Rhinolophus ferrumequinum: one gene and its partners. The main gene of each other region encodes a partner of the protein of the gene in region 2 in a complex. Links are inferred from orthologs where the notes say so. Each region holds a gene or a part of one and is shown on either strand. Other genes may lie near its edges. The genes, in order: RBM48, SF3B2, SF3B5 and CWC15.

The links.
Region 1: SF3B2 (region 2) and RBM48 share a complex: the UniProt entries of both Homo sapiens proteins name them as parts of the minor spliceosome. The link is inferred for Rhinolophus ferrumequinum from reciprocal best matches to the Homo sapiens genes SF3B2 and RBM48.
Region 3: SF3B2 (region 2) and SF3B5 share a complex: the UniProt entries of both Homo sapiens proteins name them as parts of the SF3B subcomplex of the 17S U2 SnRNP complex. The link is inferred for Rhinolophus ferrumequinum from reciprocal best matches to the Homo sapiens genes SF3B2 and SF3B5.
Region 4: SF3B2 (region 2) and CWC15 share a complex: the UniProt entries of both Homo sapiens proteins name them as parts of the minor spliceosome. The link is inferred for Rhinolophus ferrumequinum from reciprocal best matches to the Homo sapiens genes SF3B2 and CWC15.

The regions. Positions count from the first base shown.
Region 1 is NC_046303.1:33,699,600-33,706,971, forward strand, and holds the start of RBM48 (RNA-binding protein 48), read right to left. Parts: upstream 3,309-7,372; 5' UTR 3,271-3,308; coding exon 3,160-3,270; intron 2,620-3,159; coding exon 2,429-2,619; intron 863-2,428; coding exon 723-862; coding exon of another isoform or gene 717-722; intron 1-716. Other genes in the region: peroxisomal ATPase PEX1, read left to right, coding at 3,636-3,764. UniProt on the Homo sapiens protein: As a component of the minor spliceosome, involved in the splicing of U12-type introns in pre-mRNAs.
Region 2 is NC_046294.1:5,802,546-5,810,851, forward strand, and holds the start of SF3B2 (splicing factor 3B subunit 2), read right to left. Parts: upstream 3,173-8,306; 5' UTR 3,092-3,172; coding exon 2,959-3,091; intron 2,793-2,958; coding exon 2,743-2,792; intron 2,443-2,742; coding exon 2,365-2,442; intron 770-2,364; coding exon 521-769; intron 213-520; coding exon 162-212; intron 1-161. UniProt on the Homo sapiens protein: Component of the 17S U2 SnRNP complex of the spliceosome, a large ribonucleoprotein complex that removes introns from transcribed pre-mRNAs.
Region 3 is NC_046286.1:88,694,806-88,701,235, forward strand, and holds SF3B5 (splicing factor 3B subunit 5), read right to left. Parts: upstream 1,313-6,430; 5' UTR 1,184-1,312; coding exon 923-1,183; 3' UTR 567-922; downstream 1-566. UniProt on the Homo sapiens protein: Component of the 17S U2 SnRNP complex of the spliceosome, a large ribonucleoprotein complex that removes introns from transcribed pre-mRNAs.
Region 4 is NC_046294.1:65,762,729-65,770,083, forward strand, and holds the start of CWC15 (spliceosome-associated protein CWC15 homolog), read right to left. Parts: upstream 3,087-7,355; 5' UTR 2,970-3,086; intron 2,812-2,969; exon of another isoform or gene 2,736-2,811; intron 1,899-2,735; exon of another isoform or gene 1,726-1,898; intron 1,610-1,725; 5' UTR 1,602-1,609; coding exon 1,471-1,601; intron 857-1,470; coding exon 744-856; intron 130-743; coding exon 41-129; intron 1-40. UniProt on the Homo sapiens protein: Involved in pre-mRNA splicing as component of the spliceosome. Component of the PRP19-CDC5L complex that forms an integral part of the spliceosome and is required for activating pre-mRNA splicing.

The DNA of each region.
Region 1 (7,372 bases), on a different chromosome or scaffold from region 2:
GTAATTTGAGCCTCTAGTACTATTCAGATTTCAGACCACACACATAATTTTAATCCAATTCTGACTGCTTTAGTCCTACAATCCAGGAACCAGATCCCATGGCTCCATTCCTGGCATTTGGAATTTATGTCTAGGGAAACACAGTTGGGCATATGGGGCACTTAGCCAGCTGCTGGTCAAAAGTAGAACATTTCCACTTTTAGCAGTTTTAGATTAGCAGTTGGTAACTGGTCTAAAAATCCTAATTTTCTCTCACTGCCTTTAGGTCAGACCTTAATTCCTTAGCATGTGACACAGGCCCTTCATGATTCACTTCCTGTCTTTTCTTAATCTTATCTCTGAAGTCTCTGTTTTGTGGTTACCCTGTTCTAGTCACAGTTCCTTAAAATACATGATGCTCATTTATTCCTCTGAGCCTTTAAAGATGCTATCTGGGTAACGTCTACTTATCCTTAAAGATGCTATCTGGGTAACGTCTACTTATCCTTAAAGATGCTATCTGGGTAAACCTCTCTCATCCTGTAGGAAGTTTTCCGCAAACCAGCATCTCTCCCTTCTCAGTCCAGAAAGAGTGCTACACAGAACCCTATAGTTTATAGTTATTGAATATTGTGATCATTTACTTGTCTCCCTTTCCACGAGACTGGGAGCTCCATGATGATATACCTAGCAGAATGAATGACACATAGTTGTGTTTAGTAACAGGCTTTCCATACCTTTATTTTTAGTAATTCTTGCTATATAAGCCTTCCTCTCTTGTAATTTTTTTCTAGTTTCTTCAACTGTCTCAAATTCTGGAGCATAGCACACATGAAGCAATCCACCAAAGAAACTCTGTTCATCCATTTTTCTCTTGGCTGTCCTGAACAGAAATACATGATAGCATGGTTTATCAATCTAGATTTACTTAGGACGAAAGCTTGACTAGTATACAATGCATTGATCTATAGAGCAAAGTCCAGCTTTTGCTATGTGCATGTACATCCTGTGGTTTGGGAATTAAGATGCTGTGCTTGTGAATGCTATCGACCTTACTGATCCAGTGCATTCTGTTAGAACATTGACTCCCCTCTCCAAACTGTATTAATAGGTTTTGAGCTAAGTGATCCACACATATACAGACTCCCTTTAACCAACTTAGGATCCAGCTGGGTAGCCTAAGGTGTACAATCTGGGGTCACGAAATAGAGATTTTCTCTATGGTAAGTTAAATGGCCCTTGAGAGTTAGTTCATACCCAATGTAGCCTTTTCAGCACAATGTGTTCCTATAATGGGATTCATATATGAAAAAATTAATAATTGTAAAACCTACAATAATTGAGGCAATACTGAATATATAACAACTATTCAATGAGAAAATGAGAAGACAGTATTCATTCAATAAATACTTAAATATCTATGACCGGTCAGGCATTACTACAATAAATAGTTAAGTACTTCTGAGACCAGGTATAATGATAAGAACTACTTATCATTATATGAGGTTTTACTAAGTACTAGGCAGTGTCCTAAGCACTTCACTTGAATTAACACTTCACAACAACTCTATGATGAAAATGAGGCCTGGGGACATTTATAACTGAGCCATGCTCACGTTGGTTTGTGGAGCTAGGATGCAAATCCAGATGTCAAACGCCAAGCCCTACTGTACTAGGTGCTGTAAAAAATGCAAAAGCTCTAGAAAATATGCTCCCCTCACCATGAGGAGCTGGCAAGTTGGATAGGGAAGTGATATTACATAGAAGAGCAACCTGAGAACAATACATGACCCCATAAAATCAAGTGCTTTAATGGTAGACTACATGTGCTATTCGTGGCACACAAAATATGAATTGTAATAGCCAGGGAAGGATGGGTCATGGAGCAAATTAGTAAGGGTCAGCATAAAAGTAGATAAAGCCTTTCGTATTTCAGCCTTATTGGAACAGAATTGTTGTATAGAAAGTGGAAAAGATGGCGTCAATTTACGCAGGTGCATAATAAGAACTTCAATAATCAATGTTTACTGCATTCTGAACAGGAGGCACCACACTAAGTCCTTTATATGGATTATCTCACTTCATCCTCACACAACCTCACTTAAGTAGGTCCTTCTACCATATGGATTTTACAGAATAGGAAAAACAGGCTTAACAGGGTTAAATAACTTGTCCTAGGTCGTGATGCTAGTAAGCTGTAGAACTTGAAAACTTACTCCAAAGTCAATTTTTAATTTACAACACTGTATGACAGAAAACTGTTAAGCACGGGAATGATATGATGGAATGTGTTTTGGTAAGGCTAACATTTAAAAACACTGGAAGAAGACAAGAATAATACAGGACTATGTTGTTATTGGGTAATTCAGGTATGAATGGCAGACAACTGGGTACAAAATAATAGCAACGGGAATGAAAAAGATAAGACACTGCTTAACTTGCATATTACCTTGCACTTTGTAAATTCACAAATTTAATAAGGTAAACTTCTGTAAAGTCTTCTGCTGGGTATTCATCTAGAGCATTATACTGTTCAATTGCTCCATACAGAGCAAATCGCTCAACTAATTCCTTCATTGCTCCCACTGCAGGAACTCCTTGTATTAATAAGTACCGAGATTCCAAATTAATTGTATATACCTAAAAGAAATGCAGACACATTAAACGTATTTCATAAATAAACCTAGGACAAATCTACTTAAAAAATAAAAGCTTTAAAAGCAAGAAATATTCTGTTCCACTGGTCTGCAGAACACAGAACATCAAAAAATGTGCACCTCTCTCTGCATAACGAAAAATTCACCCCACGTGTGAGGGCCTCTAATTAAAACCTAAAACAGACTACCTTAACTGACATGTTTTCCAGAAGCTGGCTCGGTAAAAGTTACTGGAGTTAACAAATATTCATTGAGAGCTTACCGTGAGCCAAGCACTATCATAAACACGGAAGACCCAATGACTAAAACAAAGCCCTGTTTCGCAGAGCTGACGTTCTAGCAGCCGACCGAAGAGGTCGTGGAATCTTGTGGTACCTGAGTACCAGGCTTCCTAACACCCATCTCCGATGAGTAAGGGATACAACCTCAGTCTTTCAAGCCTTTATTTACGTAGGCTGGGCATGTGAAACTAGAGCTCACATAAAACGACTGAACTTGCCGAATGAAACCAAAATCATTTTACCTTGACAGCACGAGGCCGTCGCCCCTCCCGATATTTGGCCCGCGTGTCGCATATAGCCTTTTGGACGTGGTGGTCGAATAAGGTCCCCAGCTCCCCACCACTCGACGCCATCTTGCCGACTTTGGCCCTCACAGAGACGACAACATCCGCCTGGCTGCCCTTCTGTTTGTCCAATAAGAGAGAGGGATGAGTCAAGACGTGCCGGGATTGGCTGAGGAATTGACCATTGTTTCCTGCAAGCGATGATTCGGTGAACGAGGTGCCGCCCCCCAGCGGCGCGGCGGATAGGCCCAGAGAGCGGGAGAAGGCTGCTTGCTCCTCCCCCTACTCGTGAGCGGTGAGACGCGCCGCTGGGCAAGGGGCCAGGGGACGAGGGGGGAGGGACCGATCGATTTTATCCGGGTCGGACGCTCTGGGCCTGCCGGGTTGGCCGGGTCCGCTAGGGTTGGCGGTCGGGGGATCGGTGTTGCCCGACAATGTGGGGCAGCGAACGCCTGGCGGGTGCCGGGGGAGGTGGGGCGGCAGTGACTGTGGCCTTCACCAACGCTCGTGACTGCTTCCTGCACTTGCCACGGCGCCTCGTGTCCCAGCTGCACCTGCTGCAGGTAAAGCGCTGGCTCCGACAGGGTCTCCCAGCCCGGACTCGGGACACCTGGTGTGTAGTCTGGGGTCGGACCCGACCGAGGCCTTCCAGGGACGCGGCAGCCGCTCAAGGCCTCATCCGACGACCGGGTACGGGTTGCTTTCCCGGTGCCGCCGAGCGGTGTAGTGGCCAAACTGAGGGCCCTTCGAGGTCAGGGCCGGTCAGGGCAGTCTGTGCACTCCACACCACGTCTAGTGCAGCCCGGGCCTTTTAGTTAACTGGCCTTATCCCTGGGCTTTTCATTCGGTGAAACTGAGCTTTCAAACATCTTAGTATTCTACCTCTACATTCAGATATTCCTCATTCCAGGTTAGAAAACCCTTCAGAAGGGCTTTTGTTGTTATTTTTGTTTTTTAAGAATGTTCTTCCCGACGGCGATTTCCAGGTCCCTGAGCGGCTGTGGTCCCGGCCTCCAGCAGAAGGAGCAGACTTGGTTTGCGGAGTCCCTGTGCGTTAACAGGGACTGAGCCCGTGTCCCACCAGCGGGATAGGTTAAAGGTTCTTCTCTGCAGTCACGGGCGGACGCTGGGAGCACCTCCAAGGTGTGCCAGGAACGTGCAGTGGATTGTGCATACTTGGATATCTGTAGTTAGGATTCTTGAACCTCTGTTGTCATTAGCCCTTCTAGATTTAGTATTGTGGTTCATGGCTTTAACAGTTGCCTGAGATATGACATCCCTCCTTTCATAATTAAAAATAGAGGCACCTGGTCTAGGAGTTTGAGTGTGCTTAGGGAGGCAAAAGGCTAGAATACAGGCACACCTTGGAGATACTGTGGGTTCGGTTCAATACCACTGCAAGAAAATGAGTATGGCAATAAAGCCACTGGTAATCTTTTTGCTGATAGAGGGTCTTGCTTTCAATTTGTAAAGAACGCACCATCTGTGAAGAGCAATAAAGGGAAGCACAATAAAACGAGGTGTGCCTGTATTTGAAATCCTGGAAAATCCTGGACGTGTGGTACTCACCACTGGCTAATCCAAGCAGGAAATACTTAGAGAGTTTGCAATAATTTCAAGTATCGCACCTTTACACTTTAGCTGCTTCTCAGTAACTATTTTTCTAGATTATTTCCCTCCACTATCTTTCAAAGCTTACCAAATTCAGCAGATCCTTCCATTATTTCTTTTAGCAGACAATCTTTTGGTCCCTACGAGCTTCTTTCATGGCTGGAGAAGAGTTCATCACTAAGTCTAGGCAGGCCCTGCCCTGTGCTCTCAGTGAGATTTGGTGGAGTTTTTCAGCTGCTTTCAAATCCCCACCTAATGAGTGTGTAGGAATACTGCTTATAGTAACTAATAATGTGGCCCTAAGATGTAGATGCTATGTTCAATTCATCAGTGTTTAAGAATTTAGCAGTCTTGTCTTTATTTTAAACTTTGAGCTTTCAATAAATATTCATAAGAATTAATTCATGGATATCTTTTTGAAATTTAAATCTCTTCGGCCTTGGAACGAATTGTTGTTTCTGTTTAACTTATATCAGCAGAACAGGACAACTTTTCTCCCCGATTATAAAAGTAATATATGTGTTTTATAGAAAATTTAGGAGGCATGGAAAATTATAACCCAGAAAATTAAAGTTACCATTAATCCCCAAATCTGGAGATAACTAATGTTAACAGTTTGGATCAAATCTTCCAGTTTTGTTTCGAATCTTTAATTGTTTTTAACACAAATGAAGTCCTACACACACATATAGTTTTGTGTCCTGCTATTTTCGTATAGTATTATTATGAGTGTTTTATTTTGTTTAAAGGTCATCATTTTTCGTGTTTAATTAGTATTCTATCATAAATTTGCCATAATTTTTCACTATGATTGGACATTTATATTGTATTAATTTTTAGACATTAAAAGTGATAACAATAATTATATTTTAATAAAAAAGAGCACATCTTTGTTTATAAAACATTATTTTCATTTCTGGTTATTTGGGGTGGGTTCCCAGAATTATTGGGTTTGAGGGCATATGTTATTATTAAAGCAGAAAGTCATGAGTTGGGAGTTAATAGGTTGAATTATTTTATTTGGGCTGAAGCATTGAATGCATAATACAGATAATACTGTAAGGGAGGGGATGAGGGTGGTTTTGTGGCCTGTGTCAGACTTACCCTGAAGCTTTAAAAAATACAGGTGTTCTTGTCCTTCCCAAGATCTACTGAAACAGAAATTGGGGAGTAGACATCTGTAACTTTTAAAATAACTCCAGGCTACTTAGATGCACAAATGTGCTGAGACCCACTGTTCTAGAATCATAGAATGTTGATGGTGAAATGGACCTTAGGTGTCTATCTCCAGGCATACCTCGGAGGTGTTACGGGTTTGGTTCCAGCCCACTGCCCTAAAGCGAGTGTAGCCATAAAATGAGTCTCACCAAAGAGCGAGTTATAATCTTTTTTGTGGATGGAGGGTCTTGCCTTCTATTTGTAAAAATGCAACATCTGTGAAGCACAATAAAGCTAAGCACAATAAAACGAGGTATGCCTGTAGGTCATTTCTGTACTTTTACACCGAAGGAGACTGGGACTCCTAGGCGGTACCATTTCCATGCAGTGAATTTGCCTTCTTGTCTATAAGTCACTCTGCGGCATCCAGACTAGGCTTCTCATTATTTCATTCATAACCCAGCTACTTCCCACTTCTGTATTTTTACTCAATGCTATTGTTCTTCCCTACATTTTCCTCATTCCACGCCTTTAAAAACTGAACATAATCCTACCTCCTCCAGATAGCTTTCAAATTCTCTGTTGCCTACATTTGTCTCCTTTTCAAAACTTTCAAAACTTCACTGCTGTGTTTATGTGACGCATCTCATTTGTTAAGCTCTTTTCTGTGTTTCAAGTATTGTCTTTTGTTTATCCAAGTCCTCGTTTCAGGACTGGATACCCAGTTGGTGCTTTAACTCAGGATTTCTTAACATTTTAGGCTGGGTAATGTTTTGTTGTGGGGGCCTGTCCTGGGTACTGGAAGATGTTTAGCAGTGTCCTTGGTCTCTACCTACTAGATGCCAGTAGCACCCCTCCTCCCAGTTGTGGCTACCAAAAATGTCTCCAGACATTGCCATATGTCTCCTGGGGGACAAAATCACCCCCAGTTGAGAACAACTCCTTTAACTTAGTTACTTTTTCTGTACTCCAGGCTCAGGACTTGCTATGATTGATGAAATGGGGGAAAGGATTCATATGCATACTGAATTGTCTTCCAGAAATGACCAGAGAGGTACAGATTGTCATTTCTTTTGTGTTAGCTAGAAATAACCCAGGCTGGGACCTGGCCAGTCCTAAGGCATTGCAACCTATGATTTCACCTGAAGGTTTGGGCAACAGCAAGTAGTCAGTCATTTGCTGATTAGATTAAATTCCTGGAATAGGGGCTCCTTTCTCTAGTCTGTCCCTTCTCTACCTGAGTGCCCAGGGCGCTGTGGTTCAAGTGAAAAACTTTTGACATAAAAATGAACTCAGAACATCACTCTGCAAAGTTTACTAAATTTAACTGAACATATTTTATGACATTTATGGAGCTGGTTACTACATTTTGACCAAACGAATCATTGAAGTATTTTTTCTG
Region 2 (8,306 bases):
ACAAAAAGATGGAATTATTTGGGAGATATTGGAACTTAGTTGAAGATAAGGTAACCTCCACAGGAAACTTGAATGGTGCATCTTTTTTTGGACACTGAGCACTCAAGGTGACAGCCAACAGACTAGACCATGGGGTCAAAGGTTAGGATGAAGGGCATTACCCGCTTCTGCTGTTCCAAGAGCTCATGTTCCTTCAGTGAATGATCTCCCTGCTTAAAAATGAAAATAAGCTAATTATATAAATGTCTAACCACTATGCTGTACACCTGAAACTAATATAAAATAATACTGAATGTCAGCTGTAATTGAAAACTAAAAAAGTTTTTTAAAAGAAAGAAAACAAGCTCATACCAGCACCAATACCCCACAGGCCAGTCTGCCACAACTCTGCTTCCTGGGGTTCTAGTCTTTGGTCCAGAGCATCCCAGAACACTTGGCCCCAGAATCCAGCTGTCCCTGAGGCCCCACGTCCCTTTCAGGACGCTGATAAGACCCAGGCCCAGGCTGCCAGATGCCCTACCTGCTTGGCACGCTCCTCTTGCTGCATCAACAATGCCGCCTGCTGCTGTGCCAGCTTCAGCCGCTCCTCCTCTGACAACGCCACAGGCTCGCCCACCCGGAGAGGAGGCGGGGGCCCCAAGTTTGGTGGGCGGGGTCCAACTGCCATAGGAAAACCAAGGCCAAGGCCTGGTGGAGGTGGTGGGGGTGGTGGAGGCGGTTGCAGAGGTGGGAGACCCATGGGTGGCGGTGGCATGGGAATTCCAGAGAGCTGTGGGGAAAAAATATGACCATAAACTAGGAAACATTTATCTACTTAAGATATTTGCTGGAGAGCTACTATGAGCCAGGTGCTGGGATTCAAAGTCAAATGACACAAAGTCCCTGAGTTCAAGAGAATACTCTACAGCAGTGGTGTCCAAACTGCGGCCCGCGGGCCAATTGCGGCCCGCGATCCATTGTTAATTGGCCCGCAGCAAATTCCAAAAACATATATAGTTTACTTAAATAAACCAGGTGAGGCAATACGTACTTCACCTCGAGTGCGTGGCCCGGCTGTTTGTGTATTTTACCGCATATGGCCTTTGGTGAAAAACGCTGAAAAAAGTTTGGAAACCCCTGCTCTACAGCAATAGCAAGAGTTGATGGGGGGTGCAGATGGCTCAGTTGGTTAGAGCACGAGCTCTTAACAACAGGGTTGCCAGTTCGATTCCCACATGGGCCAATAAGCTGCACCCTCCACAGTTAAAGACAACGAGCTGCCGCTGAACTGCTGGTGGGGCAGCCGGATGGCTCAGGTGGTTAGAGCTCAAGCTCTCAACAACAAGGTTGCCAGTTCAATTCCCGCATGGGATGGTAGGCTGCGCCTCCTGCAACTAAGACTGAAAACGGCAACTGGACTTAGAGCTGAGCTGCGCCCTCCACAACTAGACTGAAGGACAACGACTTGACTTGGAGCTGATAGGTCCTGGAAAAACACAGTTCCCCAATAAAAAAAAAAAAAAAGTTGATGTTAACTTTGGGGCACCAACCAATGAAAACTAACAACTGTATCCCCAGCAAAATATCATGAATACACCATGTTTCCCTGAAAATAAGACCTAGCCGGACAATCAGCTCTAATGTGTCTTTTGGAGCAAAAATTAATATAAGACCTGGTCTTATTTTACTATAAGACCAGGTATAATATAATACTTGTTCTTATATAATGTAAGACCGAGTCTTATATTTGTTTGTTTCAAATGTTTCTTATGTTTGTTTCAAAGACACATGAGAGCTGATTGTCCGGCTAGGTTTTACTTTCAGGGAAACATGTAGATTTTGCATACGATTTCAGGATATTCAGGAACACCTCTAAAGGCCATCTAGGGACTCCTCATCCCACAGAGGAGTCAATGGACCCCAGATAAGAGCCACTGCTCTAGAGAAACAATCAAATCCTGGATCAAAAAGGACATGGATGAGGGAACTTAAATAAATAGAGCCAGTATGCCCCAAATGACTCACTAAATGGAGAGGGTATGAAATCAAATCAAGGAGTGAGCCCTAATGTCTCAATGAAGAACATAAAATCTGTAATGTGGGGTAGACAAGGAAGAAGGTGATTACTCCCTGCTGATGGGGTGGTGGGGGAGGATCAAGTCAGGCTTCCAGATATTCAAGCTGAATCTTAAATGACAGGTAGAATTTGGAGGAGCCGACACTGGGGAAGGATCAGGACCAAAGGAGATCTGAAGAGCTCCCAGCTCTGTCATGGCAGTACCTATGTGCCCAATCTTCTAGTTGCATCCCCAGTATACTGCACGTGAGAGGCGGGGTTACCCTGAGCAGAAGGGATCTTATTATAAAGTGGAACAACATCCTTACCTGTGCTGACATGGGTGGGGGAGCAGCTTTGTCCCCATCTTCACCTCTCAGAACCGGTCGATTCAGTACGATGCCAGTCTGCAAGAGAGAAACGACTCTAGATTAGTCCAAGAGGAGTTATTCCACTAAACGACGTTGGCTCCCATTCATTCAACAAAATTTGTGGAGTGCCTGTGTGTCAGAGCTCGGGCTAAGCACTGGGATGGATCAGTATGTATAGCAGAGATTATAGCAGAGCAGGTAAAGGCAAGAATAGGCAAAACGGGCAAGCCTCGCTAGCTGTGTGGAGGTACACAAAGAATGAACAGAGTCGTGAGGGATCATGAAGGCCTCCTCCAGAAGCTCGGCCTATCCTGACATCCCACCACCAACACCTACCTGGCGGGTGTAGGTCTGCAGCCGTTCCACCAGCTCCTCGCGGCTCCCTGCTGGGCAAAGCACAGGATCAACAGTGTAGGTCAGGCCGAGTAGGCCAGCCGGCCGTAGTCAAGCCCCAGGGGCCCGCCTCCGCCCCCTCCCCCGGGTCTCCGGGGTAACCAGGCTCGCTTCCCCGCAGGCCTAGGCTACCGGCTCTTGACCTCCCGAGCTCCTCACCCTGGATCGGAGCTCCGATCTCTGCCAATTTGGCCTGAAGCTCCTGGGCAGCCCAGGCGCCATAGTGTCCAGGAGGTGGCGGCGGCGGCAGCTGCAACTCTCCTTTAGGAGGCTCGGGATGCTCGGTCGCCATCTTAGCCGCAGAAAGGCGCGCGACCAACCCGGAAGCTCGGGCCAAACTCTCGGCCTACTTCCCGGAACTTCCGGCAGCGCCGTACGCCACGTCCTCTCCAGGGTTGGAAGGCCGTTCCGATAGAGGCCCACCCCCTGACATTCTCCAATGGTCCCTAGGCGGCTAGGTCGCGAAGCCTTCTGGGAGTTGTAGTACGTAGTTCACGGTCTCCGGGCCACTGCACCGGGAACACTGGGGGCTAGAATGGGGGCGGGTCTGCGGGAAAGATGGTCCCAAGCGAAGGGTTTACTTTCTGCGTCTGACCGGCCCGAGCGCGGGCCGCCGGCCTTCCGGCCCGACTCCCTGATCAGGCGTGAGAGGCCCGGACGCTTACGTTCCCAAGCAGTCCCGAAGGACTCATTCCCCCGCGGCCGCGCGTCGCGGGCGCCAAGGCGCCAAGCGGGAAGTTGCAGCAGATGCCTGTGATAAAAGTGTCTGATTGTTTGCCTACCCACCCCCGACCCAGAGGTGGATGAATGCGCTGAAAGCGGATCGGAGACGGAAGAGGGGAGGACCCACCCGGGCTGAGCTCCAGCTGCCGACCTGGGGGAAGGGCGACACTAAAGCCCCTTTTTCCACCGGCTCAAATGTCGTCTACGCTAGGCCTTCTGTTTTCTTTTCCTTCCTTGGAACTCTCATAACGCGTTCAAACCAGCACCATCTGTTTTCAACTCTTTCTTGCCCCTTCTTCCTACCTCCACCCCCAAGAACGTGAGCAGGGACCTGGCGTTCAAGAGATGCTCAATAAATGATTACTGGGGGGAAAGAAGCGAATGTAACAGTCTTCCCAGCGACAGGATTTGCGTCTTTCTGAGTCTCCAAAATAAACTCCGTACCTTTTCTTTTCTCATCCCCATCAGTCTACTAGCAAGAGGGTGGACCCTGCCTTGCACCCCCCACCACCACCAGTGGCCTGTGCGCTTAGGGAGAAATGCAGCTTCCACCTTTCCTTGTCCTGACCCCTCAATTCAGTTTCTCTCCCCACCTCTGCCACTAGTTCTGAGGTCCCTCTCCCATTCTAGCTCTGTCCTCTGACTGCCTGTGGAAGCGTGAGTAAGCATGCATTGTGTGAGAGAGCTAAGAAACTCAAGTGAAATGGTCTCATTTCCCCCACACACCCACACCCTTCAGATCTCTCTAGCATGCTCCATTTCACCAGCTGTCTCCAACGGAGAAACGGCTGGGAGCAGTGAGAAAGAATGGAATGCCAGACGCAGGGAAGGTGAGGTTTAGGAGAGACAGAAAAGGATTGGGTCGGGCAGGTTGCTCACATCCCAGCTCTGGCCTGGAATTTCTCTTCACTCTAGTCCGAACCTTGACCCTTCCCCCTTCTATCACCACCACCATCCCAGGCTCCTGACTCCCAGAGAAGCCAAACCCAGAAAGGAGAGAAGAAAGAACAGTGGTGCCCTCTCCTCCAGCTTGTCAGCCCACTCAAGCAGAACCATTCCTGACACAAAGGAAGTGTCTTTCTGCTCCCCGTAACTGGAGAATGATGGCAGGTCACCTGAGGCTGGAGGCCCCAAGGCATGTGTATGTGCTGGGGAAGGGCATGGGTGTCTCTGAAGCAGGATAAACTAAGGGGGCTGATGGGTGAGGAGGTAGTGTAGCTTAGGCCAGAAAGGGACAGGACAAGTAAGGCCCCATTTTATCTTAACCTACCTGGGACCCAGGCAGGATAGAACCCCCGTTGTGCAAATGGGAAGACTAGGGGACAGAGAGAAGCTGACATGCCCAAGGAGCCAAACTGGGACCACAAGCAATTCTCCTGACTCTGAGAGACCCCATTCCCTTCTCCTCCTTAACAAGGACCCTCACACAATATCTACCAGTGTGGGTCTAGAATGGAACCCAGTCTCAGCTTTGCGTGGCGGCCCCAGCTCCAGGATCCTTGCCATACCAGGCCAAGAGGACAGGCGAAAGCAGGGGTCCATGAGAACCATAGAACTAAATTGGGGCTCTTGGTGTCTGGTGTGACTTTGGGAGGTGCTGCTGCCCAGCTCCCAGGTGGCAGGAGCTGAGAACTGAGAAGGCAGTAGAAAATTCAAGCCCACCTCCCACATATAGGAGCTCACACAAAGCCTTCATCTCTGCGGTCTCAGAACAGCTCTCCATAAGACAGCTAAAAGCAACCAGGCCAGGTAACGTGCCTGGGCAGGGGTCCCAGGCCCACTAAGGCTCTGGACAAGAAAGAGAGGGTCTGGGGTCCTGATGGAGAGTGGGAGTAGGTCCGCAGCAAAGGGCTGCCTCAGAGGTTGGAAGGGAATGGGCCCCCAGGGGTAAGAAGGTAGATAGGACCAGACCCAGGGCTGGAACTGTGCTTCTCTGCTGGAGGTGGAAAAGGAGAAGGAGACAGGGGAGGGAGCATGTGGATGCTTGTAAATGTACCTGCGTCTCTAACTCCCCCAGGACCCACCAGCCCAAGAGTGACCAGTGGGGCCCAGCAATGCCCAGCAATGCGGGAGTATCCAGACACCGTCCCCACCTCAGTTTCCCCTTCTGTAGAGGGAGGTCAAGGAGCTGGCCACATTGGTGTCCACAATCTGCAAGGTTGCCAGGGGAAGATGCCCGCATCTGAAGACAGTACTCGGAGAATGTTCCTCGGCAACCTGCCACTCAGGGCTGCCCCCTCCCCTTACCGCTCCCCTTCTCCTCCCCCTCCCCTGCGCTGCTGCTGGGCCCCCGCCCCCGCCCCGCCTCCGGTGTGCTATGGGGGGCGGGCGGCAGGCAGAGCTGAGAGGAGCGAAGCTGAGCGGACGCCGCCACCTGATCCCATCCAGGCGCGGAGAGGGGAGCGACGGGCACTGGTGCGCAGGGCCCCGGCGCCCTCAGACCCGCACCAGATTTCAGGACAAGGGTTGGGAGGTAGCGGCGACCACCCACCAGCGGGGTCGGAGGCAGAGCCCGCGCTCACGCGTATGTACTGCAGTGGCCGACCTGGGGCTGGGGGGCGGGGTAGACCGGACCGGGATGGGGGATGAGGGGTGGGCGGGAGAGTGGCGTGGGGGCCCAGAGCCTGGACAGCATGAGGAGAGGGAGCGTTCTGCCCCGAGGAGCGGGAGATGACACAGCGAGAGGGGGAATCTGGCCTATCCCCTATGGTGACCAGATCCCGGTGACAGATCCCTGGGGGAGGCTGGGGTGAAACTGAAGGAATGGGGAGTTGGGGGCAGGCAGGTAGTGACAGAGGAAGGAGGTGAGGGGAATTCAGAGGCAGGGATGATGTGGGGGAGGATGACAGGGAAAGGGGCCTGGTGCAGGCTGGAGGGGGGAAGAGAGAGGGAGGTGAAAAGATATTTGATGTCCTGGGACACTAATTTGCAGCCCTTTAGCCCTTGGCCCTTCCTCTCTAGTGCCCTGGGCATTTTCCCTACTCACTAGGCTGTGCCATCCTCTAGTAAGGATGGAGTCTCGGGGCAGCCACCCGTCAGGTCCCGGTAGTCCAGGCCAGGGCGCCCTTCTCCTCTAAATGCACCCATTTCAGCCCTAGAGCTTGGAGGGGAGAGAGAACAGGGCTCATTTGGGAGTGGGTGGGCGTCCAGGCCAGTTTTCAAAGCTCTGGTTGGCTATACCATCTCTTTGGTTCCCTGGAGAAAGGAAAGCAATTTGCAAAACCAGGCAGCAGCGTGAGGTAGATGGTTCTGACTAAAATTAGCACTGATATTCTGATGAGGCTGAGCACACTGACCTGTCTGGGACAGCAGAGGAAAACTCTCTCCACGGAGAAGACACGGGGTCAGCTGGGGAGTAGTTTGAAGCACGCGAGGGACAGGAGCCAGTGGCTGGCCCCAGCAGACCGCCACACACCCCACACCAGCCTGGAGATCACAGAGGGAAACCCAGCCCCTCCTGGCTGCCCTTGCCCTGACTCCATCTCCAGAAGAGGCACGGGGGTGTGAACTTGCCAAGCGGCGGGAGGCTGCCTCCGGTGTCCCAGCAGCACCCTCTCTCAGGACCGAATGTTTAGCCTGGCCGAGTGCCCACCCAGAGGAGACAGGGTTACTGCTTTCAAATACCTGAAAGTCTGTCATGGGGAAACATGGTCTGTGTGGTCTAGGAGGGCAACGCTAGCCACCACGCAGAGTGGAAGGTACCAGGGGACGAGCTGAGGATCCCCGCTGTCCCAGGAAGATGCTCGAACACGGACCAGGCTGCATCTAAGGTGATGAGCTTCCCCTCATTGATGATAGCCAAGCAGAAGCTGTTACCCAGGGAATTCTCCTGCTGGTCAAGCCCTGTTCCAAGTGAGCCTCAGACCGGGGGCTAGCTGGCTGGCTTCCCAGCACTAAGGGGAATGGGATGGGGGGCCCCCCAAGCACCCCATCACCCTCCTCTGTGTGGCCTGGTTGAAGCATTTCCCTGGGGAAAATTCCGCTCTAGCTCCACCTGGGTTTGACCTCTTTGGGTGACTGCGTCCTCTGAAAAAAAGGGTTTTTTTCAGTGAGTTTAACAAAAATGGAAATAGGCTGCCCCCCGCCTTGCCCCTTTGGAAACTCCTGCCTGGTCACCAAGTCCTCTAGGCAGGATAAGTGACAAAGGGAAGAGGGCCTCCATCCTGAGAGGGCCTCCGGCTCTGACTTCTCCTGGAGGCTACCCCCCCCAGGTGGAGCCAGATCTCCTCTGCCCCAGCAAGCCTTGAAAAACCAGGGTGTGTGTGGGGGTGGGAGGCTTGGACTTTCTCTGCTCTGCCCTTGGTTGTCCTCTGTGGCTGGACCCTGCACCCCCCACGGCTCCAGGTGGATTAAGTCCGTCTGCAGCTGGTAGAGGAAACAAGGGGATGGGGCCTGGGAAGGAGGGAAAGGCATAACCAGGACATCTTTCCATCCAAACAGGTTTAAATATAATCCAGGATTAATTGGGGGCAGAGGGCGGGGGAGGAGGAGAATTGGAAGCCAAGCCCAGGGTCCCCAGGGAAGGTGATGGTCAAAAGAGTTTTCACATTACCTCACCCCTCCTGGGACCCAGGTGTCCTAGTTCCACACACATGCACATGTCCGTAAGGTTCCAGACTCCCCCTCCCCTTTGGAGAGGGGTGTATGTGAGGTAAAGTTGAACTGAGGCCCCTGGGGCAGAGACCCCACCCTAGCTGCTGAAGCTGACTTTCCACTGGCACTGCCAAAGGCTGGGCTGCCCCTGTGGGGACAGGTAACTGGCCGGGAACCAGGCCCTTCTGCCT
Region 3 (6,430 bases), on a different chromosome or scaffold from region 2:
AGGTTACTATCTCAACAGTCTAACATGAGCATCCTATTTAAAATTACAAGCCTATAGCTTCTCCCATCCTTTACAGCACCTTCTAACATTCCTGTCTAGTTCGTGGGGCATCCTCTCCCTCCACTAGTATAAGCCCCCCAAAGTTGGGAAAAACGCCCACCACGTGGGGCTCAACATAGACTTGTTAAATGTTGAACGAATGAAAAAGCTCATTTGACACCTTGCCATTTTTCATGACATGTCCACAGAGTCCCAAGAAAAAGACAGAATGCAATTTAGAGAGAAAGGGCAATGACAGATTTTCTGAATGGGAGAAAAAGAGGTGGGATACAATGATCTCACACCGCAATACTGACGGCGGTATGAACCTGAAAAAGACTCTTCGGAGAAGTCAGGGTGGGAGAATATTTTGCGGTTATGCAGGGTGGATTTAAGTGTATGGCAATGAACGCTGGCCCCCGCGCCTCCACCCCCTCACCCAGTTTCCTGCTCAGACTCACACGAAACCACAAGCCCAGAATCCACAGACCACTCCACCTGAAAACAAGTAGCCCACACCAAGAGACTGAACATTTTCTAAACTTTATGGTAAATGCAACAACGACAATCAACTAGGCAAAAACGAGCGTCCAAATTCCGTCTCACGCCAGGGCTCACTCCCCTAGCCCCGGCTGGCTGTAGGATCTCCACGGTCACAGTTCTCAGGGATCTCGACGGTCTCCCAGGGCTGTGTTCCGAAGCGTCAACACGAAGGCAGGTCAGGCGAGATGCCCCGGGTAAGCACTTCTGTACAAAGGAAGCTCGAGGGGCAGGATTCAGGGATAATCGGTCCACTTGGGGCAGGAGCACGCGGGAAAAGACGGCAAACGGGTAGAACGCAGGGAGGGACGTGCTCCCGCACCGTGGTGCCAAGGCGAGGGTCTCAGTTCTCCTCGGGCTTGTCGGCTGGCGGTCCGCAAGGCTGCAGCATCTTCTCCATCAAGTTGAAGCGGACTCGTGCTTTGCTCTCATTCTCCGCGATGGCGAAGTAGTTGAGAAGGTCGAAGTGGCCCATGTAGGAGCAGTAGGAGTCGCGGTGCTGGTTCACTAGCCACTCCCACTTGGTGGTGTCGGCGTGGCCCGTGCCGATGTACTTGGACTGCAGATGCTCCAGCTGGCTGTGGATGGTGTAGCGGTCCGTCATTTCGCCGCTTTCCCGGTTGTTCTCGGATCAGAGGACACACACGAGGAGCTGCAGTAGAATCACACCGGTGAGGGGCCGCCCCGCTGAACCTCCGGACCGGTGCCGTCGCTGGCGAATGTCGTCACCACGTCGAAGCTACGTAGACTCGCGGCTCAGGCTCTCAAAGGCGGAAGAGGAAGTGGATTCTGTCGCGGTATTGGAGTTGCCTAGGCGACGCTACAAGTCTTCCGCCCCTATAGAGAACCCCGTTCCCTTCGGAGACCGTTGCATGATGGTTCAGTTAGTGGCCCTTTTTCTAACAGGAAGCTTTGCATGCTGGGACTTGTGGTCTCCTAGGCCTCGAGCCGACCATGCTTCTGGAATTCCTCCTCGCGGTTTAAGAGGCCTTAGGCGGCCTGATGGAGTACGGCGTGTGGCAGGTGGTTATTGTCCTCACGCAGTTGGGGCGGACAAGAAATGGGAAATTCAAGTAGGACAGGGCTATAGGCAACTGGCAAAAAGTACTCCGAATAGTTTTGATTTCGGAGCTTACGTGGCGGTACACACTTCACAACTAGGGGTAGATCACCCTGAAGTGTGTGGAGACGCGAATTCTGGTACCAACTAGGTCACTTACAAGTGGTGTGGAGTGGACGTTATTTCCCCGCTTTCAGGGCCACCGTTTCCTGCACGGGGATCAGTGTACAGTACCAGTTCCAGCACGTTCCGGCTTCCACATCAAGCCCCTCCTGCCTCTCAAGCTTATTTTGATATCCTCCCTCCAACTCATCACCCCACCCTACCCGCTCCAGCTTGTACTTCTCAACGTTCCGTGCTGCTCGCCTCTCCAGTTCTTTGTACAAGCTGTTCCCTCTGCTTGGAATGCCTTTGTACCCTTGGCAAACACTTCTCCCTTTAAGTCAGCTCAAAAGCATCTCCTTGAAATCGGCTTTGGCTAATCCAGACAGATGTAAATTCTCGTTCTCTTTGCATCTTGTACGTCGTCTCTTTGTTATTCCTTTCTATAATTTTTGGTTTAAGAATTTTCTCACGCGAGCACAAACTACTTGAGAAAGTTTACTTTTTTGATGGTATCTTTTATATTCTTTTATGATATCCTCATAGCCTGGCGGAGATTGTATTCTCAAGAAACATTTGATGAATGGATAAACAACTGTGTGACAGTCAAATAGACCTCTTTACTGGGAGAAAGATAATTTTAAAATAGTTTTAATCTGATACAAAGTTGCAGACTATAGTGAATAGTGTACTGAATACTGGAAAATTTCTAAGTAGGTTTCAGATGCTCTCACCACACAGACGCAAAAAAAAAGTCCTATGGCAGGAGATGGATATGTTCATTACCTTGCCTAGCAATCATTTCATTATGTATATGCATATCAAATCAAGTCACACACCTTAAATATATACAATTTTTATTTTTAAAAAATATTTTAAAAAATGACAAAAATATTTCTTATGGGATCAAATGCCTGTACCAAAAATAAAAAATAAAAATTTATTCTTTAAACTTTGTTATAACGTTTCATTCTTAAAATGCAGAGACTATCATAAGGCATACCTGTGGATTCACCATCCAGATATATCAAACCTTGCTTTTTTGGCATTTTTGTTCCCAACTTTGTTGCTTTGTTTTGGGTTTTTTTAAAAGATATAAAACTGTAGAAATAAACTTGAAGTTCTCTGTTCCCTTCCCTCATCTATTCACTTCAGGATACTGTCTTGAATTTAAAGTTAGTCATTCCTGAGCCTGTTTCTTTTGTTTGTGTTTTTGATTGCTGATAGTTTGTGCATTCATAAACAATAGGTGTTAGTGTTATGTATGTTTTATAGCTTTAAATAAATGACACCCCATATGTATTGTTACGAAAGTTGCTTTTTTCCCCCTCATCAGAATTCATGTTGATATGATGTATTAATAGCTTTAATTCATTTTTACTGTTGTGTAGTACGAAAAAAAGGTCAGACAATTAAGTTCACAGACTTTCCACCATATAAGCACACAGTGGAAAGTTCCCAAACTTACCTGTAGGATCTTTCCAATGCTACTGAATTAACACACCGTAACATGTCCATTTTCTCAATGATGGCTATTTAATTTCACATGTTTACTATAAGAAACAATGCTGCAAGAAATATTCTTGTACATATATTCTTATACATGTGAAGGCGTTTCTTTGGAGAATATACCGGTATATAGGAATAAAGTTGAAATATACGGATGAATGTCTTCAAGCTTTGCCTCATATTGCCAAATTGCTCTCCAAATGGATTGTATCAATTGGATCTCCCACCAGCAGAATGAGAATTCCTTCTGATCCACATCCTTCCCCAAACCTGCTGTCCTTAGACATTTGAAAAAATTTCAAACCAGATGGGTGGAATGGAATTTCATTGAGCCTTTAATTTGCATATTCCTGCTTACTAGGAAGTCTGAACTTTTTTTAAAATGTGTTTATTGGCCTATTACATCTCTGCTTCTATGAATTACATATTCATATACTTTGCACATTTTCTTATTGGGATGTTTGTCTTTTTCTTACTAATATTTTAGGAGATCTTTATATATTCAGTATACTAGGCTTCTCAGTTAGAATGCAATGAAAATAGTTTTTCCCAGTGTGTGGCTTATCTTGACCCTTCCTTTATGGGTATCTTTTATTGTACAGAAGTTAAGTTTAAAGTAGTCAAATGTATCAGCCTTCCGTTATAGCTGTGCTTTTTGCATTTGGTTTAAAAAATGGAATCAAGCAAAACTCTTTTCTACCCTGGGGCCATAAAAAGAGTTTCCTTCATTTTCTTCTGAAAGTTTTAGAATTCTGGTTTTTCATATTTAGAACTTAAATTCACCTGGAAGTTTCTGTTTTGTTTTGTTTTGCTTTAGGAATCTAATTTTAAAAACTTTTCCTATATGGCTAATAAGTTCCCAGTGTTAACCAATTATTGATTAAATAGTACATCCTTTCTCTACTCATCTTTCATGCTTCTCTTGTATAGGTCTGTTTCTGGGTATTCTGTTCTATCAGTTTCTGAGTCCATTCCCCCACCAGTAACACAAGATCTTAATTATTGTACCTTTATAATAAGTTGATATCTGACAGGGTGAAAGCCTATACAGTTTTCTTCTTTTATAAATGTTTTAACTATTCTTGGTCCTTTGCTCTCCTACATGAATTTAGAATTGTCAGTAAAATCTTCATGGAAATTGTGATGGAGTAGTCAAACAAAGCCATGGAAATTAATATTATTTCTACATTATTAAGAATGATTCTAAGGATATGAGAGAAGTCTTCAAATTCAAAGGCCTTGAGAGCTAAATGGAATATACATTTATGTGGATTAATTAAGAGCCAAAGTGTATTAGTTTGCTAGGGCTCCCACAACAAACTACCACAGTAGTTTGTTGGCTTACACAGTAGAAATTTATTTCCTCCCAGTTCTGGAGGCAAGAAGTACAAGATCAAGGTGATGGCAGGTTTGATTTCATTCTGAGGTCTCTCTCCTTGGCTTGCCAATGGCCGTCTTCCATGTCTTTACATGGTTTCCCCCGTGTGTGTCTGTATCCAAAGCTGTTCTTACAAAGACACCAGTCGTGTTGAATTAGGATCCACCCACATGACCTCATTTTGCTTTAATTACCTCTTTATAGCTTTTATCTCCAAATGCAGTTGTGTTCTGAGTTATTGGCGGTTAGGACTTCAACATATGAATTTTGAGGGGACACAATTCAGCTGTGGAATAAGAAAACTTGTTTCTTTTTACATATTTGTAATTAGATTTGTGAAAATAAGTATGTGAAATTATTTTGTTAAAACAGACAATTGCAACATTTACAAGGAAAATGAAATGTATTACATTAATAAGTGTGGCTTAAAATGTTTAAGAGTTAAAATTTGGAGTGGAATTCAATTTTATTCAAAGGCCCCTTAAAAGTTATTGTGAAAATTTTCTAGACTTATAGGATTTTTAGCTGACCTTAAAAGCTTAAGGAAAAAGGTAGTTTTTTTTTTAAATTTATAACTTTAATAAATTGAATATTAACTTTTCAAACCCAAATCTCTGAACAGTGCTTTCTACATTCCCTCAAAGGATCCTCAAAGACATCAAAAAGCCCTGCTTCAATTTTAATTGTAATTACATTGAATTCATAGGCACATTTGGGGAGAATTTTCATCTTAACTATATTGAGTTTTCTCATCTATGCACATAGTATATATTTCCATTTATTTATGTCTACTTTTTTTGACTTTAAAATAAGCTTGTAGAATTTTCTCCACATGGGTCTTTCACATCTCCTGTTAGATGTATTCCGAGTATCTGCTGTGTATACTTACTGATGTTCCTTTGAGTCTTAACTTGTGACCTAGTAAGGAATATCATAATTTCTTTACACTGAATGCCAATAGAGAATTTTGTTCTGGAACCAGCAAATTTTTTGTCAAGACATGCCAGGACAGCTGTTCCTGTTTCATGCCCCAAGATAATAACCTCAAGTCAATCCTGTCTATTAGGTTGCTTCTATGTAACTATCACATGCCGTCTTCAGTTTGGCATTTGAGTAAGAAAAATATGTGCAAGAAAAGATTCCACTGGAAAAAGATATAGAATTAAAAATTTATAAAGAAAAATAGGTTTTTAGACAGAAAATTATAGATTGATTAGTCTATTTTTTAAGCCTGGAAATGGCAAGGCAACATTTTCTAGTTGAATCTTTCTTGTTCTTGTGCTGTTGGCTTTAACGTTATAAAAACAGTCATTTAATATTTTTGAATAGTCAAGGTATCATTCGTAACAAAAAAGTAAACAAAGGAAAGCAGTTTCCAACATCTGCCCATTTCCCACCCCGCCCTCAGTAAGTAACCGTTGCTATGTGTATCTTGTGTATTCTTCTAGAGAGTTTTTTAATGGATGTATAAGCAAATACAAATATATATGCTATTTTATCCCTTCTAAAATTCAGATGGTAGCAAAATGCTCACCATAGTTCTGTACTTTGTTGTTTAGTTTTTTGACATATAATGGAAATCATCCCATATGAGTACATAAAGAGCTTCCTCATTTGTTGTCCTGTTTTACAGCTGTGTAATATTCCATTGTATAGGTGTAGCATACTCTAAATAAGAGGGTGGTTACCATCTTATATTGTTTGTTAAGTATCCAGAAATTATATTTAATTTTATTATTATTGCAGAAAAATATGAACTTCAAATTGAAATGAACTAAAGTCACATTTCCTTTAGTGAAAAA
Region 4 (7,355 bases), about 60 Mb from region 2:
TAAATTAGTGTATGGAGACAAAGGAGTTAACAAAACATACATCTGTTAGAGGATCATCTGCATCGAGGTTGGCAGCGGGAATCTGGTCTAACCGAGGCTTCTTTGACACAGAAGAGGAGGTTGTATGTTCTGGAAAAAAACAAACATCACTTCGCTTACTGAAACAAATACTGTACTTCTTAAAACATTTTAGGGACGTGGGCACAAAGAGCTTAGACTATAACCATCATGACAACAGGGATCAAAACCATGGTGCCTGGCAAATAAATCCTTGGTAAATATTTGTTGACAGAATTAATGAAAGTATTGATTTTAATATGGGAACTGCAGCCTCTCTCAGGGGAATTTAGAGAATAGTTTACATATGCTGGAAATATAAAAGACATTATATTAATAACTGATGTCACCTTCCTATAGCCAGTGACAAAAATGGGAAAATTTCATAGACTGAAATCACGGGGCTCCAAAAAGTGTGGCTCTTGTAAATAACCAATAACTCCTTGATCTGAACTGAAACAATGGCTGCTAAATAGCCCCAATCAACCTTTTCCTTCTGATATAGAATCATAAAAAGATGGACCTGAAATTGACCTCATTATCACTTCTCATCATTCAAGAAAGTTTTGCAGGCCATACCAATATTTAAAAGAAAACAAAAGACATAATCTATTCCAATTACCCCATGAAAGAAAAACTACTGTCAACATAATTTTATGAGACAAATGTCGGGGCAGTGTTTGTACCTCGGGTTGGACGATCTCTATTTTTTTCTCTTGCAGCAGCTCTCTCCCTCTCTTCCAACTCTCGCCTGAAGTCACGGTTCCGAACCTCTTCAGGGGCATCCTGAGTGGTCTGTCTAGAAACAAACCAGGACAAAAGTGTTAAAAAACAACCCCAGGATGTAGCAATGGAAGATAATTCACAAAAAGCAACTTTGTCCTCGAGTCCCTCAAGTATGAAAGAGGGAACTGGACAAAATTATTATCCTAATGTGAAGGTTATTAACAGGCATCCTTGTGATATTTCCAGATTTCAAGAAGCCCAAACTGAAATCATGTATGTCCCCGTAAGGCTGCAGATTGATTAAAATGTCTTTACTTTTTTGTTAGTATGTTAACTCAGGTCCTGCTACAGGAATACTTTTGATCTCATATTGATTAGTAGTAATAGTGCATGGTCCCTCTGAGTTAATATATTAGTTACTGTTTTATCTACATACAGAAATTCCTGGTTAAACAGGAATTTCTACATACAGAAATTCCTGGTTAAACAGGAATTTCTGCTTAAGGAATATCTGCTAGTATTTTACAATCACAGAACATAATTTTAGTGTTATACACTACTGCATTCTACTCCCATGAAAATAGATAACTTAAGCAATGTAAGCTAAACATGCTACTATCTCGTGACCATACTATTTAACAGATTTGATTTTGCTTTGTGAACACGAAAAAAATGAGTCTTCATTACCTGTATTTTATCTTTGTGTGAGAAGGTAGGTCTCTACTTGAATATTGCTTTGAGAGTTGGCTCAAATCACCTTCTCCTTTTCCTCTTCCACCTCTTGCAGGTTCAAAAGTTGGCCTAGCTGCTGTTGTCATCTTTTACGCTTTGAAGAAAAATAATATCACATTATTTCCCATATGGCAAAATCTCATTTTATAAAGTATTAATCAATATTCACCCTTGTGAAGTAATTTCCACAGCTCATTCCCCAAAACTTACTTAAATAACCTCAAACAAAAGTTCCACGGGGGAAAAAAATGAGGTTCAGGGAGGTACAAGGAATATGGCTTGTTAGGAAGCTCCTATCTGGTACAAAAAATTCTAGTCACGAAGATCTGAATTTGTGTTCCCGTTCTCCTTCTGGTTCTGTGGCCTTGAGCAAGTCACCAAGCTTAAGTTTCTCTCATCTGTGGAATGGGGATATTCGTCATAGAATTATTATGTGATTTGCCATGGCAAAACTCTTGTAAAATATGATACTGCCATGACTGAGTCTTAAAAATTCTCAACTCAACCTTACTCCACCAGACTCCTTAAAGTTCGCATTTTATCTATTAGGTTGGTGCAAAAGTAACTGCGGTTTAAAAGATTAAACATTGCAAAAACCGCAATTACTTTTGCAACAACCTACTAAACCTCACACAACAGAAAATAGGCTAGTAACTACAAAAACAAAAAGAGTATTTTAAAAATCACAAAAATAATACCTTAATTACAATTACTGAGTGTCCTGGAGAAAAGTGCTAAACTTCAATGACAATTACATGGGAAGAATTCTCCAACAACCTTCTGTTGACCCAACTTTCTCTTACAGCAGCCAACGTAATATAAAATCAGGTCTTTTGTAGGTTATAACTTAAGGAACGCTCATAAGACAGGAATCTCACCCCCAAAGAATTGTGATAAGATCAGAGACTCGTTCTTTACGTTACTTTTGGTTTTGAATAGTCGAAAGAATACCACACCCAGCAGATGTGGCTACTAAAATCCCGGTAAGCGTCAGAAAACCAAGTGCATGGAGGAAGTTGGGGTAACTAACTGGTAGTATACGTCTCTAGATTTTAAAAAAAAAGGTAAAAAGATGTGTCCAGTGGAGGAGAAACAGGGTTTCCTGCCGCTGGGGGCGCCGCTGCCTCCCACACCCCCTCCGCACAATTGTCACTCTGGCCACCCGGGAGTTCGCCTTCGGGAGGTCACCAGGAACTCGCTGACTCTTCCCCTTGCCCTACCCCGCGATCGATGCGAGGCCCAGACCCTGCTTAACGCGGTCTGTAGCGTTGCCTCGGCGCTGCACTCTCCGGGGCCCCCGGGACTGGAGACGCGCCCACAGGTGCAGAGCTCCACCCCCCGCCCCCAGCTCCAGGGCCTGCTCCGCCCGCGCTCGGTTCTCCGTCGGCGACTCCGATCCAAACCGCCCTTTCCCGCCCCAGTCGGATAACGAAGACAATCTGCTATCTTCCCACCGCTCACGTTGGCCGAGATCCGATGCAGCAGCCGTCGAAGGGGATTCAGACACCATTACCACTCCTGACTCCCAGAATCCTCTGCGCCAGGGGCCAATGCCGATGACCCGGAAGCGAACCGCAAGCACTTTAGCCGCCCTTCAGAGGCGGAAGCCTCGACCAATCCTCAGAGACCGAGGTGGTGTCGGCGTGACGACAGCAAGGGGCAGGGTCGAAACAGCCCAGGGGGCGGGCGTTTGAAATCCGTGCTTTAGAGCATACCCTAAACATGATTTTATACCTTCAAGAACCAATTACTTAATGTCTCTTCCGTCTTTTCCTTCCCCGACCCCCTCCCAGACTCCTTCATTCCGGTACTGCGTGGACGGAAAGCCCCGGGTAGCCGACACCACGTCCCCGGCTAGCGAGAGAGAGCGTAGAAAAGGATTACACCCAACTGTTTAAATCCAACGGCTCCTGCTGCCTTTCTCCTGATCTAGACCCAACAAGCCTAGAGAGTTGGGCTACGGAAAAACTAGTATTTTCATTTAATTGGATATGAAGAAAGAACAAATATGTACGGGGGCAACCACGATCTTTATAAAGGTACCATTCCTGCCAAAATATTAGTCTTCAAAGCAAAGGTTGTATTCGTATTGTTTGGGAAAATTTTTACTTTAAAAAAAGCTAAGTTCTAGCGGGAGGGGAGATGTCACTATTAGAGATTCATTTATTAATTGAGCGTTTAGAACGGTGGGCCCAACTGCCAGGAGCACGAGATGCAATTATTATAAGATGGCTACTCAGGCGTCAGGTGAAGTTTTCAAAAGACAACGAACAGGAAAAAAAAGCATGAATTGTTCTTCCGTCTCTCCTCCGCCCCCTTCTGCCTCCCCCCCCCCCCCAAAGAAAAACACTCTGGGGGCAGAGATCTGGTTTGCTTAGTTTATTTTGGTATCTCATCACTTGGCTATAGTAGATCCTCAATAAATGGTTAAACAAATGAAAATTCAGCTCCTTCAACTTAGTTTCAAATGTAAAAGAGCTTGTAAAATTAAACATCAAAATGATTTTATTTTCCCAGAACTCTGAAACTTTCAAATGGAAAAAAATAAAAAGTAGACAAACTCCCTTTCTCCATAAAGTTCAAGATGTAAATCTTGATTTTTTTCTTACTGAAGGTATTACTCAAGTGTCACACATTTCAGTAAAGGACACTATTATACCATTACTTAAACCCAAATCCCAAGGCTTCTTAAATTCCTTTCTCTTCACTCTTCACATCCATTTCCTTTGCAAGTCTTGCCAATTCAACTTCCAAAATATACCCTAAATTTCATTCTACTGCCAATATCCCAGTCCAAGCCACCGTCATTTTCCACATGGATTGTTACTGCCTCCCAATGGATCTTCCTGCTTCCACCTTTGTCCTACATTCAATTTTGCATGTAGCAGTGAGAGTGATATTTTAAAATTATGAATCACATAGTGTGACTGTTCTGCATAAAAATCCATTACAGTTAGAATAAAAATCATATTTCTTACTGTGGCCTGAGGACCCATCAGGCCGCCCCTCCTGCCTACCTCCCTGACTTCACTTCTAATCAGTCACTTTCTTTCACACTAAGTTCTAGCACAGCCAACTGGGCATCTCTGTTTCACAAACAAGGAAAGTCTCCTTTACACTAGCTTTTCTCTACTGCCTGTGCTCCAAGATACCTATATTTCCATCCTTCCAGTCTCAGTCCAAATGTCACCTCCTCAGTGAAGTTTTCCCTGACATCTACGTTTGCATCCCTACTCCTCCAACACACAAATATTGTCACATCACCCTGTTTTATTTTTTTCATAATACTAAACCTACCTGAATTTGTTCATTATTTGTTTATTGCCTTATTTATTGTCTGAAAGGCGGCATAGCAAAGTCATTAAGAGAAAGAAACCTGTAGCCTGACAGGCTTGGTTCTAAATTCCAGTTCTGCCCTTTCCTAGCTGTGTACCCTTAGGCAAGTTGTTTTCCCTTTCTGTGCCCTCAGTTTCCTCGTATAAAATGGGAAAATTCTACACTGTACTTCATAATGTTATTATAAGGATTAGTTGAATTAATATTTGTAAAGTGCTTAAAACTGTCTCAGCAAACAGTACTTGCTAAATAAATGTTAGCTATTATTATTATTAATATTATTTTTATTATTGTCTATCTTCCTATATTAGAACATAAGTTCCAGAAAATCAGGAACCTTGTCTCTCTTGTTCACTGGTGTATCCTCTGCATATAGAACAGTGCCTGGCACATAATAGGTGCTGAGTAAGTATTTGTTGAATGAATGAATGATTGATGCACTATGAAGTGGAGGAATGAAGTAACAATGACAAGGTGGTGACACAATTATAGAAAATACCCCTGATTTTTGTGTTCCAACTGCCTTATCAACCCTGAGCCAATCACCCTGATTCATTTAACTACTGGCCCACAGCCTAATTTTTTGATCATTATCCATGGTTAAATAACCACACTTGTAATTTACCAGCAGTGGTATAATTAACACCAACATGCAATATAATCAGTCCACAAAATTAAAAGTTTTGACTTAAATGCTCTGAAAGTATTAATAAGAAAAAGAAACTAATTTTTTTTTACTTAAGTGATTGTAAAGTACTAATAAGAAAATGAAACTGTAAAGCTTTTGACTAAAATGATTTGAAAGTCTTTGAAAAAGAAATGAAAAGTAAGTTTACTAAAACTTTAAAATTCATCCTTTCAGCTACGCTTGCTGGCAAAAATCATTTATTACCTCCCAAGAATTCTCATTTTAAACCTATTACCACAAAAATCTAGTTGAGCCCTTAATTCTGCCTGCCAGTCCTCTTATATTGTCCTAATTGTTTATTTTCTCACTCTGCAATAATATGATTTCTCACATTCCTCTCTTTCCTCAAATCTGTATGCCTCTTCTACCCTCTTGGCCTTCCTCGTCCTCTTTCCCAAGAGCGGACAATCGTCTAACTTTTCAGGGAAAATAAAAGCTCTTAAACAAGGATTCCTCATCTGCTCCCCAGCAGACCTACCGAGCTGCCTTTGACTTTTCCCATGCCCTCAGCTTTCTATGTGTTAGAGGTGAGGTGACCCAAACCCTCTCCCTTGTGCTCTGGGTCCCAGTCCCTCTAGTCTGCTTAGTGACTGGCATCCTACTATATTTCCTGTCTCTCATAATCTATTAATCCATCCCTTTCAGTTCATTCCTACCAGTTTTTGGATATGGTGTAGTACATATTAACCTTAAAAATTGCTCCTTCGTTTTAACATGACACGGTTGTATTTTAATTCAATGTGAAAAGAATGTTTTGTATAATTATGATAGCAAAACTGACTATTCTTATAGCAGGATGTAATGTAGGAATTCTGGTTTCAAAGCCTACACAAACACTACGTCCAGTTGAATTAAACACCCCAAAGGAAAACAGTAACTGAAGAAATCGAAGAAGAAAATTTAAGACTATTTATACAAACTAGGGTTTGTAAAAGATAAACTCCAGATTAGCAGGTGAATTCTGTAATGTGTCTAACATATGAAGGATTATGACTACCCCACTACTATTAATACACATAATATAAAAAATACAAACAACCCAATAAAAAAATTGGGCAACGAATGTAAACAGGCTATTCAGAAAAAGCAATTCCAAATAGATAATAAACATGAAAGACTCAAGCACCCCATTAAGAAAATGAAAGCAAACTAACAATTATCACATTATAGCATTAGTTTGTCAACAATTTTTAAAAATTAATAATACTGTTAGATGGGATTGGGTGCAAAGGGGATCCAGTCAGACAGCAGGGAGGCATTGACTCCACTTCCCTCACAGTCAAAGTCAAAGGTGCTCACAGTGACTTACAAGGTTCTCCTCAACGTGTTGACCTCTCTTGATCATGCCTCTCTAGGCTACACGCCTTCCTAGTGTTGTTTGAGCATAGCTCCTGCATTAGCTATTTCCCTGGCTAAGAACACTCTTGCCGGTCTTATTCAAGTCTTTGTTCAAATGAGGTCAGCCAATTAAGACAGCCCTGTTTATAGCTGGCAACCCTCCTCCACATTTGTCCTGTAACATCCTGCACTCCTTATCTCGCTTATCCTGCTCTACTTTTCCTTTAGCACGTATCGTTTTCCATGATCCTATAAATTTACTTATGTTTATTATTTCTTTCTCTACCTATCACATGCAGGATATAAATTCTACAAGGGAGGAGTCTGTTTTGCCCAGTGATGTAGTCCCCACATCTAAAACAATGTCTGGCACCAACAGGCGCCCATAAACGTTTTACAAATGAGTGACTAAATGAATGAATAAATGAATGAATGAATGAGTTTTAACTGGGGGGTGGAAATCACATTTTGATGTAAA